Schizosaccharomyces pombe: one gene and its partner. The protein of the gene in region 1 purifies or fractionates together with the protein of each later gene. This does not show direct contact. Each region holds a gene or a part of one and is shown in the gene's direction. Other genes may lie near its edges. The genes, in order: sgo1 and ppa1.

Region 1 (7,042 bases):
CTATCGCGTGGGTCGTAAAATAGGTGAGGGATCGTTTGGTGTTATTTTCGATGGGATGAATCTTTTGAATAACCAACTTATTGCTATAAAATTTGTATGTTCTTTGTTAGGATGAGTATATGGACAATACTAACAATGGACGTTAGGAACCCAAAAAGTCGGAGGCACCTCAGCTCCGTGATGAATACAGAACTTATAAATTACTAGTTGGAAATGGTATGTTTTTATTTTGCTACCCAAAACATATGGTCAAGACTTTGGTACTAACCGTATTTGCAAATAGCTGGCATTCCTAATGTTTACTATTTCGGGCAGGAAGGACTACATAATATCCTTGTTATTGATTTACTGGGACCTAGTTTAGAGGACCTATTTGAATGGTGCGGTCGTCGATTCAGTGTCAAAACGGTGGCTATGACGGCGAAACAGATGGTAAGTTTCCTAAGTTGTTCCTATAAGGTTTTCAATTTGTTTAAATTTTCTCTGACATTTCAAAGCTTTCCAGAGTTCAGACGATTCATGAAAAAAACCTTGTTTATAGAGACATCAAACCCGATAATTTCCTAATAGGCCGACCTTCCTCTCGAAATGCAAACATGGTATATATGGTTGATTTTGGTATGGCCAAATATTACCGTGATCCCAAAACCAAGCAACATATACCATATAGTGAACGTAAAAGCCTCTCGGGGACTGCGAGATATATGAGTATAAACACGCATCTTGGACGTGAACAATCCCGTCGCGATGACTTAGAATCGTTGGGACACGTCTTTATGTATTTTTTGAGGGGAAGTTTACCTTGGCAAGGATTGAAAGCTGCCAACAATAAGCACAAATACGAAAAGATTAGTGAAAAGAAGCAATCTACCTCCATTAGTGAGCTTTGTGCTGGATTTCCTAATGAATTCAGTAAATACATGACTTATGTGCGTTCGTTAGAATTTGATGAAGAACCGGATTATGCGTTTTTACAAGAGTTATTTGATGATGTACTTCGAGCAAATGGTGATACGAATGATGGGGTTTATGATTGGATGTTATTGAATGACGGTAAAGGTTGGGAGTCAAGCTCTTCTCATTTTTCTGTTGTTGCTATGAAGCGACGAAAGAATTACCTTGGCTTAAATGTTGTTCAAAATGATGATTCCAGAAAAAAGAACAGTACTTTGCAAACACAGAACATGCGATTTAAATCCTCATATGGGGTGAGAGGTCCTAGAAATTACTCATCGTTCGATGCGTTGCCGAGCAAAAACGCTCCATTGGTGCGTCAAGAACAGTCTGCTTCTAAAAAAACAATTTATGCTCATTCTTCTAGAGGTTACGATAGGGTTCGACCTATGTATGTATCTCAGCCCTCGAATAATGCAGTCGGAGTAAATCATCCTAACGATAATTCTGATTCGGAAGCAAAAGGAGGATTTTTTGATATGATATGCTGTCGTTGCTTTTCTTAGTTTCGAAGCTTCAACTATTGTTAGAGTCACTCACTTTCTTAACTTAAATAAGTGTTGTTCTACTATGCGGTAGATATGCTTTCACAATATCAATCATTTGATGATTTGGTTTTCAGAGTACGGGATAAATGGTTCATCTTTTTTTAATATTAATTTGAGAAACGCTGTATAGCGTCTTTGAGCGGGTGCTTAAATCAAATTCTTTAATTATTTCGATTGCAAATTTGCTGGCACTAGCCTACTTTGCTGGTTCTCGTTTAATCTTTTAATGTTGCTTTCCTTTAACATAACTCAATATTGTCTTAAAACTGACATTGTACTATTGTAGTAAATAATATATACATACACATATATAACCAAACCATATGTATTCTAGGTACTAACAATTGGTAAAATGACAACGGAAGCTAATTCGTTTTCAATTACAAATAAATAGAATAAAAGAAAGGAATTCTTTTTATACTGATTCGTGTAATATATTTTTTAGCTGGACATTCAAAAAATAAACTATACGTGTCTTAAAGTATTTGAACTGGACAAATGCCATATGATTTATTGGAAACTAGGTAATTTCTTTTGAGTAATGGTAAATCCCTTTTTAGTAAAGGAAACAATCAGCAACAAATAAAGAAAAAATTTTGACTTATTGGGTTATAATTACTGCAGCGTATACCTAATATGCTGTATACGACCTCTTCAAAAACTAACGCTAAAATCTGTCAAACCATAGTATGTAATTTTTATTTTTTTTTCTCTATGGCGTAGATATAATTTCGTATCAAGACTGTAGACTTGAAGTTTTAACCCAAGTTTTATCAGGTGTTAAATAGATCTCCCTTTTCTAACTTCTTAGTGCGTGCACATGCATGTGCATGTGTGTTAAACGATTTGAGTCTAAAATTGACAAGAGCGGCTTCGAAATATGATATCTAATAGCTCCATTGAGGATAGAATTAATAAAAATGAAGCATATATAGCCAAGTTTTTTGAAATGTGTGTGTAATTATAAGAATTTCTGTGTTTGTCGCCTGAAGTTTTAAAATTTAAAGTGAATGATTTATGAGTTTACTTACTAACTTTATTAGATTTTCTAAAAATGATAAAATTCGCTTCCATGGAGTCTCACTTGACCGAAAAGCACTTGACTCGTTTATGGTTAGAAACAATTTTAAAAAAAGGTTCGTATCTGGTATTAACCTACCCATTTTAATACGATTACATTTTTATAAGAAACTCTTTACCATTTTATGGCTAACAGTTAGAACGGTCGCTTTGTTATCTCATGCTAGAAACATACAATGTCTAATTCAGGAATCCGATGGCGATGCTAAAGACGTTGCTCGTTCCATTTATATTACTACGGCTGAGTTTCGGAATTATTTGTTGACTGAAAAAGGGTTTTACGTTACGACCAGGAGCATTTCACATTTTCGAGCAATATTAGACAGCATAAGATACCCTTTTGGAAAAGACCATGCTAGCAAGAACATGGAGCTTTTACCTATAGTAAGTTTTACATAAATTTTAAGCGGACTACTATGTAAGGGATCTTATCCAAAAGACGTATCTGCAATTTTTAGGGTTGATAATGTTATACCTTTGCATGTAGTTAAATTCAACGTTCGTTGATATAATATGCCAATGTTTAACACGTTTTCTTAATGATGCATACTAACCGACTACTTACTTAGACTTACGATCTCAGTTTTTGTACTGTTTTTCATGGTTATCTCACCAGTATACTGGAAGCTTATGAATTCTTTAGAGGTGTTTTCAAAAAGTATAAAGCTCCCTTGTCCTCTAACTTTATAGCAATAGGAAAGACCACGGACGAATCTAATTTCTCACAATTGCATCATTATTTCCAAAAGTTTGATGAAAGAATTCGTCGAATATTACATTTAATCTCTCAGGAGTTGGATGGATATTGTCGGATAGCGAAGCAGTAATTAATTTTATGTTCTTTTTATCAATTTTTATTCAGGATATGGGCTGCATTAAGTCGTACAACCATCTTTCATCTAATTTATTATATACTAATTTACATTGATTTGGCAAGTTCCTTAAAGAAAAGAGCCTTTCTCAATATGACAAGACTTTAGTTTGCGATTGTTTACCTTACACTTAACAGGTTTGTTTACATCAGCAAGTCCTTAATTGCTTTTCGCAAAAAAAGCTTTAAAAAAGCTATGAACTTTCAATTTATAAATTCAAATATAAACAATGAAGATAAATTGCCGATGGAGTCGTTGAAAAAGAAATTTTTAAAACAAAATCGTGAAATTATAAAGTAAGGTCAAAGTACACCATTTTTGAATCCCTTGTGGTAAATAATAAACATCTAACTTTCAGAATAAATACTCAGCTTTCTATAAAAATTAGAGAATCTGAAAACGAAATTCAAGATTTGATACAAGAAAATTTCACTTTGAAAAGTTATTTGGTTAAACTTGAAGCTCGATTTCGCAATCAATCTCAAACTGAGGACTTGTTAAAAAACTTCTTTCCTGAGATACAAACCATTCACAAAAAGATTTCACAAGTGCAAAGTTTACTGAAGATTATAGAGAAAAAGTGTTCATCAGATTTCCTCGAAGCGAATGTAAAAAGTCAATTTACAACCTGTGAAAATAAAGATTCGAAAGAAGATTATCAGATTTTGCATAATAAACGCTTGGAGTATGTATCATTTAATGATGAACTTAAAAGTCTCGAAACAGGGCAACCATTGTATTGTTTTCAAGATTTCCAAAAAAAAGTCCATGGTCCTCCGGCTCTATCTGAAAAACCTGGAAAATGTATATTAAAAGATAAAACCAATGCCCACGTAAACAAAATACCACAAGATGAGGTGAATTACTCATTGCCGCAAAAAAATATCACCATCTTTTCAAAGGAATTAAAAGAAAACGAATTTGAATCCATCAACGAGGGCGAAACTGAAGAAGAAAAGGCTAAAACATCAAATGTTTGTGTTTGTATTCCTTGTAAAAGTGCTGAACAGATAACTGACCTTAAAGGACAAGCAACCGGAGACAGCTCCCCATGTGATTTTGAAGAATCTCAACCAAGGATTAATGGACGTGAAAAACTAAGACGATCAGTCAAAGTGATAAACTATGCAATACCCAGTTTGCGAACTAAACTACGACGAGACTTTGACTTACCATCTGATAGAAAACGCAAACGACATCCCAGAGGCAAAGCATAAATTATATTGAGGTCACATTGTTAAATATTTTCACATTTATAGCACAGCTAATTTATAATTTAATCTACTGCAAGCAACATTTAAATTCAAGAGAAAAACAAAAAATAATAGAGGAAGAAAAAAAGAACCTAATCAAGGCTCATTTCTTTTACATAAACACATAATTAATCGGCCAATAAATACAAACCAACATTTAAACATAAGCTAAAAAAGTATGGAGACTTAGCCATTTAAGAAAAAGAAAAGAAAAAGGGCGTTAGATATTCTTTAAATAACCGTCATTAAAAAAAATCCAAATCAAAGCGTATTCGTATCGTTTCATATATATTTTTTATTTTGCTTTGGGTAAAACAAAAATCTCAAATAAGAGAGGAAAAAACCAAAAGGAAGGAATCTAAACTTCCCGGGAGCTTAATAGTAAGAACGGAAAACCTCCTCTTGGTTAACTTTGGGATGATCTGAAGGTCTAGGAGTAGCTTCGTAAATGGTTACAACAGGATCACCCTTGAAGGGAACAAAAGAACCACGAAGACCAATGTAGGCGATTTGTGTAGGATCATCAGAACCGTCGCTTTTGGTGAAGAAGATATTGAGATTTTGAAGGTTTTGATAGAGACGAGTCTTAACAGGAAACTCGAAGATATGGCTTCCTTCAAAAGTCAAGGGAAATTCAAATGTTTCAGTGGCTTGGACATCACCGATTGTGTCAAAATCCAAGTCGGTACGATTGGGAAAAAGTGAAAAGGAGTGTGGAGCGGTTTCATTAGGAAAAATGCGAACCAAAATTGATTTTAGTGTTGCCGCACCTGCAAACGGTACCTGAAACAAGAGTTGGTCATCAGCATCACTTTCTACGATATCAGTGTCATCATAACGAAGGTCCCAAGGTTTGAAGACGAGTTTTCCGGAATCTGGTACAGCTTCATTCAGCGTAACAATTGATTCCTTTCGGATGCAAGAATACAAGGTATCATTTGGACCAGACTCAAACGGATGTTCATCACAGTCAGCGGAACAATGGTGAGGGCCAGACATTTAGTACAAACTTCTAAGGAAATCGTTAAAAATGCAAGACTAGGCGAGTTGATAGGTGAATAAATAAACGGTAAACTCGCTAACAAAAAGTAAAAGGGAAAGTTATTTGCGAGCACACTAAGACGTAAGACCGACACTCGGAAGCAAATACTCAAACAAAACAACTAATAGGAAGAAAACCAAAAGCGGAAAAATATGGCGAAAAAGCCTCCCGAGACCAGAAGTACGTTATGCGTTAAAATATTTTTCTTAGAAGCTTTACTAGTCTTCAGCAAAAGAAAAACAAAAATGGAATCAAAATCAGAATTCAAAACTGAAAAGAAAGAATATAAAAGTAGTTTTTTAACGATGAATTATTTTATTGCTTTTTAAAAAATTTTGATTTTGAGACAATAACCGAAAACTCACTTTTGTACCAAAGAAACGTTGACAGTATAAGCAAACAACCTCCTTACTGACTTTTAAACACCAACTTGAAAATATTCGATGAATAGTATGAATACCAGAATTTTAAAAAATAAATAAAAGAAAATCTATACATAAATATAAAGGGGCCTTTTTGTTTTTTTTTTGGTTTTCTCGCAAAAAAAAGTTATTCAGTCGTAAATTTCTACGTGGTAGATGAAAGAAAGTGTAGAAATTTCAACGTTAAATTAGCGAGACTTTTGTAGCACTGTATGAGGAACAGAATTTCAAGGCATACGAACAACTAAGCTAAAAGGCCCATGAAAAAGACAACACCAAAGTTCTTCCTTGGTAACATTGTTTCTATCCAGGCGGGTAGGATGTGGGCCGTGTGGCGCTCATTGTAACAATATATATGTATAGGATTTTGATAAAAACCGGTTGCTTGAACATGCAAGAATAATGAACGGTGACACGTGACAAAGTTACAGCGCAGAAATACGGTGACAACCAAAGCAAGACCAAGGGAAAAGGTTCGCTATAGATGTGAAACAAGTCATGGAAAGAAGGGTGGGGGAGGGCAAGCCAAGGCTGGGGGTAGCGTAAAAGTATAACTTTGTATAATTTTACATTGAAGAAAGAAATGGCACGCCATATGTAACGTGTTTTCTTTTCCATGGTGAATGTTTATTAAGAGAAACATGGATATGCGTACATTCGGGATTACATTGGTGTGGGAGGATTGAACATTATGGATTTGATTATTTAGAGAAAAAAAAAAAAAAAAAGAAAGAAAGAGAACGTACTATTTTTTGGTTGACTTTTATATTCCTAAGGTTTACTCCTAATGTCGCTACGGACATGAATCCGTGCAAAAGGACCTGAACCGCTGTTAACCCTTGCCTTAACCGTGTCTCGCCCCTGTTGTTGA
Region 2 (7,756 bases), on another chromosome or scaffold:
AAAGTCATTTTCATCGTCAAGTTCAATAAGAAAAGCGGACGCATCGCGTAATCCTGCGTTTCCTCCACGTCTCCTCCTTGTTGATCTTTCTAGAAACCTCATTGTTTGGGAAGGTCATCTGAAGGATGTTGCTGTTTCAATCTTGCCATTAAAACATGGGTTTTTGGTAGTGACCGCTGATGATAACGTTTTTGAGTTAAAACGAATCACTTTGCAAGAAGAGATTTCGCTGCTTTGCCAAAAAATGATGTACAACTTGGCAATATCTTTAGCCAAAAAAGAAAATATGGACATTGAATTTAGAGAATCATTAATGCGAGATTATGCCTCCTTTCTTTTCCGTAGAGGTGACTTTTCGGCTTCTATGGATTGGTATATACGTTCTATTAAGTCGATCGACATTCCTTCCGTATGTCTTGAATTTTTGAAAGCTCAAGAAATTAAGCAACTTATCCGTCTTCTTGAAGAACTTATAAAGACGGGTTTAGCGACTTCTGATCACCGATTATTGCTATTATCTTGTTATGTTGAGATACATGACTCCCCTTCAATTAGGAAACTTATTGACATAGGTGAAATTGATTTTGATCAAGCATTTAAAATTTGTTACGATTCTAATTTGTTAGATGAAGCGAAGCATTTAGCAATACGTTTCAATAATAACGAGCGGGTTTTAGATGTTCTGGTTGAAAGTGAACAGTATTCTGAAGCATTAAGGTTTTTCGAAAGTTTACCCCCTTCAAATTTGCTTCCATTGCTTTTAAAATATGGCCGAGTTTTATTAGATAAACTGCCTGAAAAAACGACCAATATTTTTATACAATTTTACTCCAATTCTCACAGAGGGGATTTATCTACCTCTGAATCTAAAGGTGAACTTAAGACTGCGAAATCTTTGAGACAAACTTATCTTTCACTACTTCCCTATGCACAGGTTGCTAACTTTAGTTTACCTCCTAGTTTATACGAAATTTCTCCTTCTCAAGAGGAAAATCAACGTGCAGCATTGTTTTCAGAGGATGTTTCTTATACTGCACCAAGTCCACAAACCTGCTTTCATATTTTTTTAAATCATAACTCAGAATTGATTTCATTTCTGGAAGGAATATTACCAAATGCATCACCAAATTACAAGACTCTCATTAATACATGTCTTTTCGAAGCGTATATAAGAGAATCATTTGCGTCCTCAAACGTTGAAAAGCAAGAATTTTGGCAAGAAAAGTCTAATTCCCTTCTAAAAAAAGTAGAAAAAAACGTAGACCTTAATGCAGTCTTTTTAATATCTCAAATTCTAGGATTTGATGACGGGGTTCGTTTTGTTCAAGGAAAATCGGGTCAAACGCTTGATATATTTCGCTCTTTCTGTCAGCAAAACGATATTGAACGGGCATTAAAAATGGTTCGTGTTCATGGTCCAGATCAGCAAGAGTTGTACATCATGATGTTGAACTGTTTTGCGTCTTTAGAAAACGTTGATAGTTGGTATCAGGATATCAACGAAATAGTTAACATAATTGTTTCTCAACGTCTTATTTCGCCAACACAATTGTTAGACATTCTTGGAAAATCAGTCAATATCAAGCTCGAGCACATTAGTGACTCAATGCAATCTGTTCTTGACAATTATCGTGAATCAATCTCGAAACAAAATGAGGCTATTGAAATGGGTAAGCGGGATATTGAAGAAATTACTAGTCAACTTTCAATTCTTCGTACAAGAGCATTTGTCGTGCAAGAGTCTAAATGCTCTACCTGTGGAATCGATTTAGAGTTACCTATGGTACATTTTCGCTGTGGACATTCGTATCATCAGCGGTGTGTTGAAGATGAATGTATTCGTTGTCGATGGTTATAATGAGTCAAAAATATGAAAATTAAATACAAAGAAAGAATGGAAGTAATGCATTATTTATTGTACGAAATAAGTTACTCAAGTCAAAATTATGATTAAGAATATTTCATTAATATTTTTTTTGGCAAAATGGAATTAGGTAGTTACACTTGGATTCTCTGATAAGGTTTCTTAGTTTGAATAAATGAAGATATACATCTGCTTTGCTCATAACGCAAATATCTGCTCTTTTTAAAACTTGTAATCTATAAAACCTTTACCATAAAATCTTGTAATTAACGATTGTTAATGTAAATAATTCAACGCTTGAATGCTAAACCAAACAAGTGAATAAAGGTGTAAATAATAACTCCACCGCCTACCGTAAATTTGGTCGCCAGAATAGACAGTTGACGATAAGTCAATTGAATGCGGTAGTCTGTAGACAAAAAGCGAGATAGGAAATATTTTAGCGAATCCAAAAAAGAGTGAAACGTATCGTAATTAATAGGAGGAAGAATTAAGGACGCAGAATTTTTGGGAAGGTTTTTATTGTCAATTTTCGGAGAAGTAAGCTCTAATGCTTGGCCGACAGCTTCACCTTTTTTATCAAGTTTCTCGGAAATCTTTTTCAGTTCATCATTTATTTCAAGTTCTCGTTCCTTGTCAATGTGATCCACAGCTTCACGAACCAACCGTTTCCTTTTCCTTGGTTCCAATATTAGTTGAACGACCACAAAAAGAACAACGTTAATTCCCATTAATCCCCATGTACCCCAGGTACTTGCTTGCCGGATTTTATCACTCCAAACTTGTTCTTCGTGGTATCTCGATAAAATCGAACGCACCAATCCATTTTGAGCTTCCTCTACCCGCCTTTCCGCTACATCCACATCTTCTTGAGCCTTAATTTCTTCTTCTTTGTTTGAATAATCATCACGGTATAGTTTAGTAAATCTTTCTAAATCAATAGTAGACCAGCTACTACGTCGTTGTAACAATTCGTTGACTTCACGTTGACTTGACGATCTTTTTTCAACCGCTTCAATATAACGCTTTCTTGCTTCAGCTGCAGATAATCTAAAATCACGGAGCTTTGTCTCCTGCTTTACAACCGCGTTCTTTAATGCCTCAATGGAGGAATAACCAGTTAATTCATTCAAGCGTTGACTCGCTTGGAGTATAGTCTGTTGAACTGATCCATTTCCTTTATTATAGATTTTGGGAAAGCGAGCAGCAAATCCCTTAATAGACTGAGAAAGTCGTTGCAACATACTTTCTTAATACTTATACATTACTGTTATATCCTTTCATGTCTTCATATAGTGAGTTAAACATAATGTACTGCTGCACCAGCCATAAAGCTGGTTTACGGAAATATTCATAAACAGCTTAGAATATGCTATTTATAGTTAGGTATCAGCAATACTATAATACGCTATAATACTTACGTTGCGTATCACTATATGTCACATGTCCTAATTAAATATCGTACTATGTATGATACGATATTGAGACTGATCTTAATGATAATCTATTAATATTTATATCATCTGAATACTATAAATAGAGCTACTGCTAAACCTCGTTCCTCAGTTCAGTTACAAGCTATACCAGTGATAGGTAACATTATAACCTTGTTAATACAATACCTACACTCAGTTGCTACTTATATTATCTGTGTATTGCGATATTATAGGTCACAAGGAAAACTCACCGCAGTTCTACGTATCATTAAAACGAATACGAAACTGCGTAGCTAACATTAGGATAAGCGAAACTCACGCTTGAGAGAATGTTGTAGATGTAAAAAGCATTTGAAATTTAAAAAGAAAAAACAAAAAAAAAAAAAATTACACTTCACTTTACAAGGCTTGGGCCACTTTTCTTAGGATTTATGGTAAAACGTACTGAGGATATCGTTTACCCCTTGCAGAAATATAGAATATCATTTCTTTTCTTTGATAAATATATGCTTTAAGTTAATTCAACCTCTACACTAATTTCGATTTTTAATCTGCAGCCCTTTAAAATAAAGAAGACTGTAAATTACTTTAAGAATTTCATTTTTTTGCATATAAAAGATAAAATATGACATTTATCATGACTCGAACAAACGACTGCTTGCTAATCACGGAATAAACAACAAACTTTATATCAGTGCTGGTAAGTTTCGTTACTTTAAATCCTAGAGTTGGATAGCTGTACAAAGCAAGCAATTTCAGCAATTCAAAAAGATTTGGACTATGGCTCAGAAAAAGCAGTTATACGTATTCAGTGACTTTGACGGTATGAAAAAATAATTTCAATAAAAACAGACAACTAACTTTTGGGGTCTAGGAACTATTACACTCCAGGATTCCAATGACTACTTAACTGGTAAGGTTGGGAATAGGAAGATTGTTACAGATATAAAAAGATGTATAAAGGTAGTTAGAAAATGTTCTTACAATTAAGCTTAACTGAATATTTATTGAAGATTTACGAAAATCTGTAAGAGAAATCTATGATTTTATAACATTGGGTCAAAAATTTCCCTGCCCACCTTGAATGCTTTATTACTGCAACACTCGACGGCGACGGTTTACTAACTATGTTTTAGACAACTTTGGAATGGGCAACGCCAACCGTGTGAATCTAAATCAACAAGTTCTTGACGGTTCCATTTCTTTTCGGTAAGCGTTTGACGCGTAAATCAACTCTTAACAATTCATAGTGATGCTTTCGCGAAGATGTTGGATTCAGTGCATTTAAGCTATGATGAAGCTTTGGAGGTTCTCAAGAAGAATGTCGCCATTGATCCATCATTTAAACCATTCTATGAATGGTGTAAGTCTCAAGACATTCGTGTAATCATCCTTTCAAGTGGTATGGAGCCTTTTATTCGTGCACTTTTTGAGCAATACCTTGGCAAAGAAGAAGCAAGTAGTATTGAAATTGTTTCTAATGACATCAATGTGCATCCTGATGGTCAATGGAACATTGTGTATCATGATGACAGTCATTTTGGACACGACAAAAGCCTTACTATCCGTCCGTATGCTCAATTGCCAGAAAGTAAACGTCCTCACATGGTCTATTGCGGAGATGGTGTTTCCGATTTGAGTGCTGCGAAGGAAACAGAACACTTGTTTGCCAAGAAAGGACGTGATTTAATTAAATATTGTGAAAGGGAGAAAATTTCTTTCTCTGAATTCGAAACCTTTGCTGATATCCATAAAGATTTGCAAAAATTATTCTTTAGCAGTTAAATCTGAATAATACCTAAGAAGTTTTCGTACTTCAACATTTTTATACCTAAAGTTGATAGATATTTGTTATCAGCGCCTCGAAACTTAGTTTCAAGCAGGTCCTCATAGCAATTTAAATGCATCATTCACCAACGGTTCGATTAGTTTGGGTTGTTAGAAGCAATGATTTAACATAATTTGTATTTATATACTCATCCATTTGCGAGTCTTGTATGAAAAATCCTATATCATATCAGTCCGTAAGTGGTCGCATTGCTACAATATCTCTTTATTTTTTTTAAGAAAGAAAATAAAGAGATATTAAATTTTGCGTCTTTTGGTCGTGAGATCGCCGAAATAAGGTAGCGAGTATAACATAATGTAGATCACGCATATTGTTATATTTTGGTTTGGTAAAGTTACTCAAAGTCAGGAAACTTGTAATGATGTTTTAAGGGGCTTGCAGAAAAAATTGCTATTACGAAATCCATGTCTGTAATATTTTGGTTATTAATAAATTGAAATAAAATTTAAAACATGAAATATTGTGACTTTATGTATCCTGTCTACTACCATACCTTTCAACCTTCATACAAATTTTCCCGTACTCGCATCATTTTCTTTCTTCACCTAACTCCCCACCGTGTCTGTAAAACATAATATTTCTCTTTCCCACATACGAACGAATAAATAATAAAATACAGTATATGTACAGTAAACGTACCTCAGACACCATTATTTTGTCAAGAAAGTGAATAAGCTTACAATACCCCCGTCATCCAGTGAATTCGTAAGTGGGAAGTTGAAAAACGCATGCTCAACGCAGGATAGCATACAAACGGAAAAGCCCTTATGGATTTTTCTGTGGATGCTTTTCTTTTTAATTAAAAATTTAGTCGTTTATTAACTATTGCTTTAAGTTTTTTTCAACAAGATGTCTGTCTCTGGAAAAATTGGAGAGGTCGATCGTTGGATTGAACAGTTGAGTCGATGCGAACCTCTTTCAGAGGAAGATGTCATTCAAATGTGTGATCTCGCAAAAGAGGTACTTTCTGTAGAATCAAACGTTCAAAGCGTCCGATGCCCTGTAACGGTTTGTGGTGATATTCATGGACAATTCCATGACTTAATGGAGTTGTTCAATATTGGCGGCCCTTCACCTGATACAAATTATTTGTTTATGGGAGATTATGTTGACAGAGGATATCACAGTGTAGAAACAGTTTCTCTACTGATTGCTTTTAAAATTCGATATCCCCAGCGTATAACAATATTACGTGGAAACCATGAATCTAGGCAAATTACACAAGTTTATGGATTTTATGATGAATGCCTTAGAAAGTATGGAAATGCGAATGTTTGGCAGTACTTTACAGATCTTTTTGACTATTTGCCTCTCACCGCCCTAATTGAAGATCGAATTTTTTGCCTTCACGGAGGTCTTTCTCCTAGTATTGATACACTTGACCATGTTCGTATATTAGATCGTGTGCAAGAGGTTCCTCATGAAGGTCCGATATGCGACTTGTTATGGTCAGATCCTGATGACCGACCTGGTTGGGGTATTTCTCCTCGAGGTGCTGGGTATACGTTTGGCCCGGATATTGCTGAAGCATTTAACCATAATAACGGTTTAGATTTAATAGCAAGAGCTCATCAGCTAGTTATGGAAGGTTATAATTGGACTACAAACCATAATGTTGTTACTATTTTTTCTGCTCCCAATTATTGTTATCGATGTGGAAACCAAGCAGCCATTATGGGAATTGATGACCACATAAATTACGCATTTATCCAATATGATACTGCTCCCCGAAAGGAGGAATTACATGTCACCAGAAGAACACCCGATTACTTCTTATAAGTCATCGTATGTTTTACTTTCTTCTTGGACTTGTTAATAGCTGGAATTTTTCATGGTTGGATTTTAGCGTTGTCAACGTGCCGCTAAAAATTTACTTTAATTTTATGGGTTTCTAATAGAATGTTGTTATCTTCGAATTTTTAATTCTCCTGTTTCGGTACAAATATTGAATTTATGGAATGCATATAAAATTTATATAGGATATATGATGCACTTGTAAGGTGTCTACCGTAATGATAATTTTTCACATCTGTACCGGTGTATAATATATTAGTGAAACACCAACTTATCGACATTAACATTTTAATAAATTATCTACAAAGGTCTAAACATAAATGATAGCATGTTCAGTAAATAAAAAAAAAACATAAGACCATGAAAGCTAAAACATTGTGAAGCTGATGTATGAGTAAATTTAAAACTTGTGCGCAAAAAGTTAATCGTCAAAGCTAGATATGTTAATAATCGAAAATTTAACAAACAGCTTACATGTAACGCTCAAGTAAAGCACAATTTCCTCCATTTTTAAGATTTACTGCGAACCGATAATAGTGTCCTGAATAAGAAGCTACTTGTATGTGCGGACCGCTGCTCGAAAAAATTATTTTTCCATAGAAAGAAGCTTCAGGAATCTTAGCAGTTGCAAATTCTTTCCTAGTGTCCCAAACTTTTGCTACATTTGAAGTTAAATATTTTGACCAAGAAGATGACACAGTTACGGAAGATGTAGGAGACGAATTCGGATCCGATGGTTGCTTAGAGATTTTGAAAACGTGAATAGTACCATTTTCAGAAGCACAAGCCAGAAAAGGCTCAACTGGGTGAAAT

The links.
Region 2: the proteins of sgo1 (region 1) and ppa1 purify together in Schizosaccharomyces pombe (affinity purification with mass spectrometry, with the first as the bait; one study listed by BioGRID). This does not show direct contact.

Annotation. Positions count from the first base shown.
Region 1 is NC_003423.3:965,375-972,416, reverse strand, and holds sgo1 (shugoshin Sgo1), read left to right. Parts: upstream 1-3,649; coding exon 3,650-3,750; exon of another isoform or gene 3,751-3,812; coding exon 3,813-4,671; 3' UTR 4,672-4,681; downstream 4,682-7,042. Other genes in the region: serine/threonine protein kinase (CK1 family) Cki2, read left to right, coding at 1-94, 147-216, 284-432, 498-1,460; SPOM_SPBP35G2.04C (uncharacterized protein), read left to right, coding at 2,383-2,453, 2,546-2,966, 3,152-3,409; poteasome interacting protein Txc1, read right to left, coding at 5,083-5,706.
Region 2 is NC_003424.3:2,602,105-2,609,860, forward strand, and holds ppa1 (serine/threonine protein phosphatase PP2A catalytic subunit Ppa1), read left to right. Parts: upstream 1-5,691; 5' UTR 5,692-5,854; exon of another isoform or gene 5,855-5,912; intron 5,913-5,984; 5' UTR 5,985-5,998; coding exon 5,999-6,928; 3' UTR 6,929-7,256; downstream 7,257-7,756. Other genes in the region: vps11 (HOPs complex subunit Pep5/Vps11), read left to right, coding at 1-1,858; protein She9, read right to left, coding at 2,155-3,108; ptf1 (phosphoric monoester hydrolase), read left to right, coding at 4,081-4,123, 4,175-4,213, 4,437-4,509, 4,551-5,085; phosphatidylinositol-3,5-bisphosphate binding protein Atg1802, read right to left, coding at 7,365-7,377, 7,418-7,756.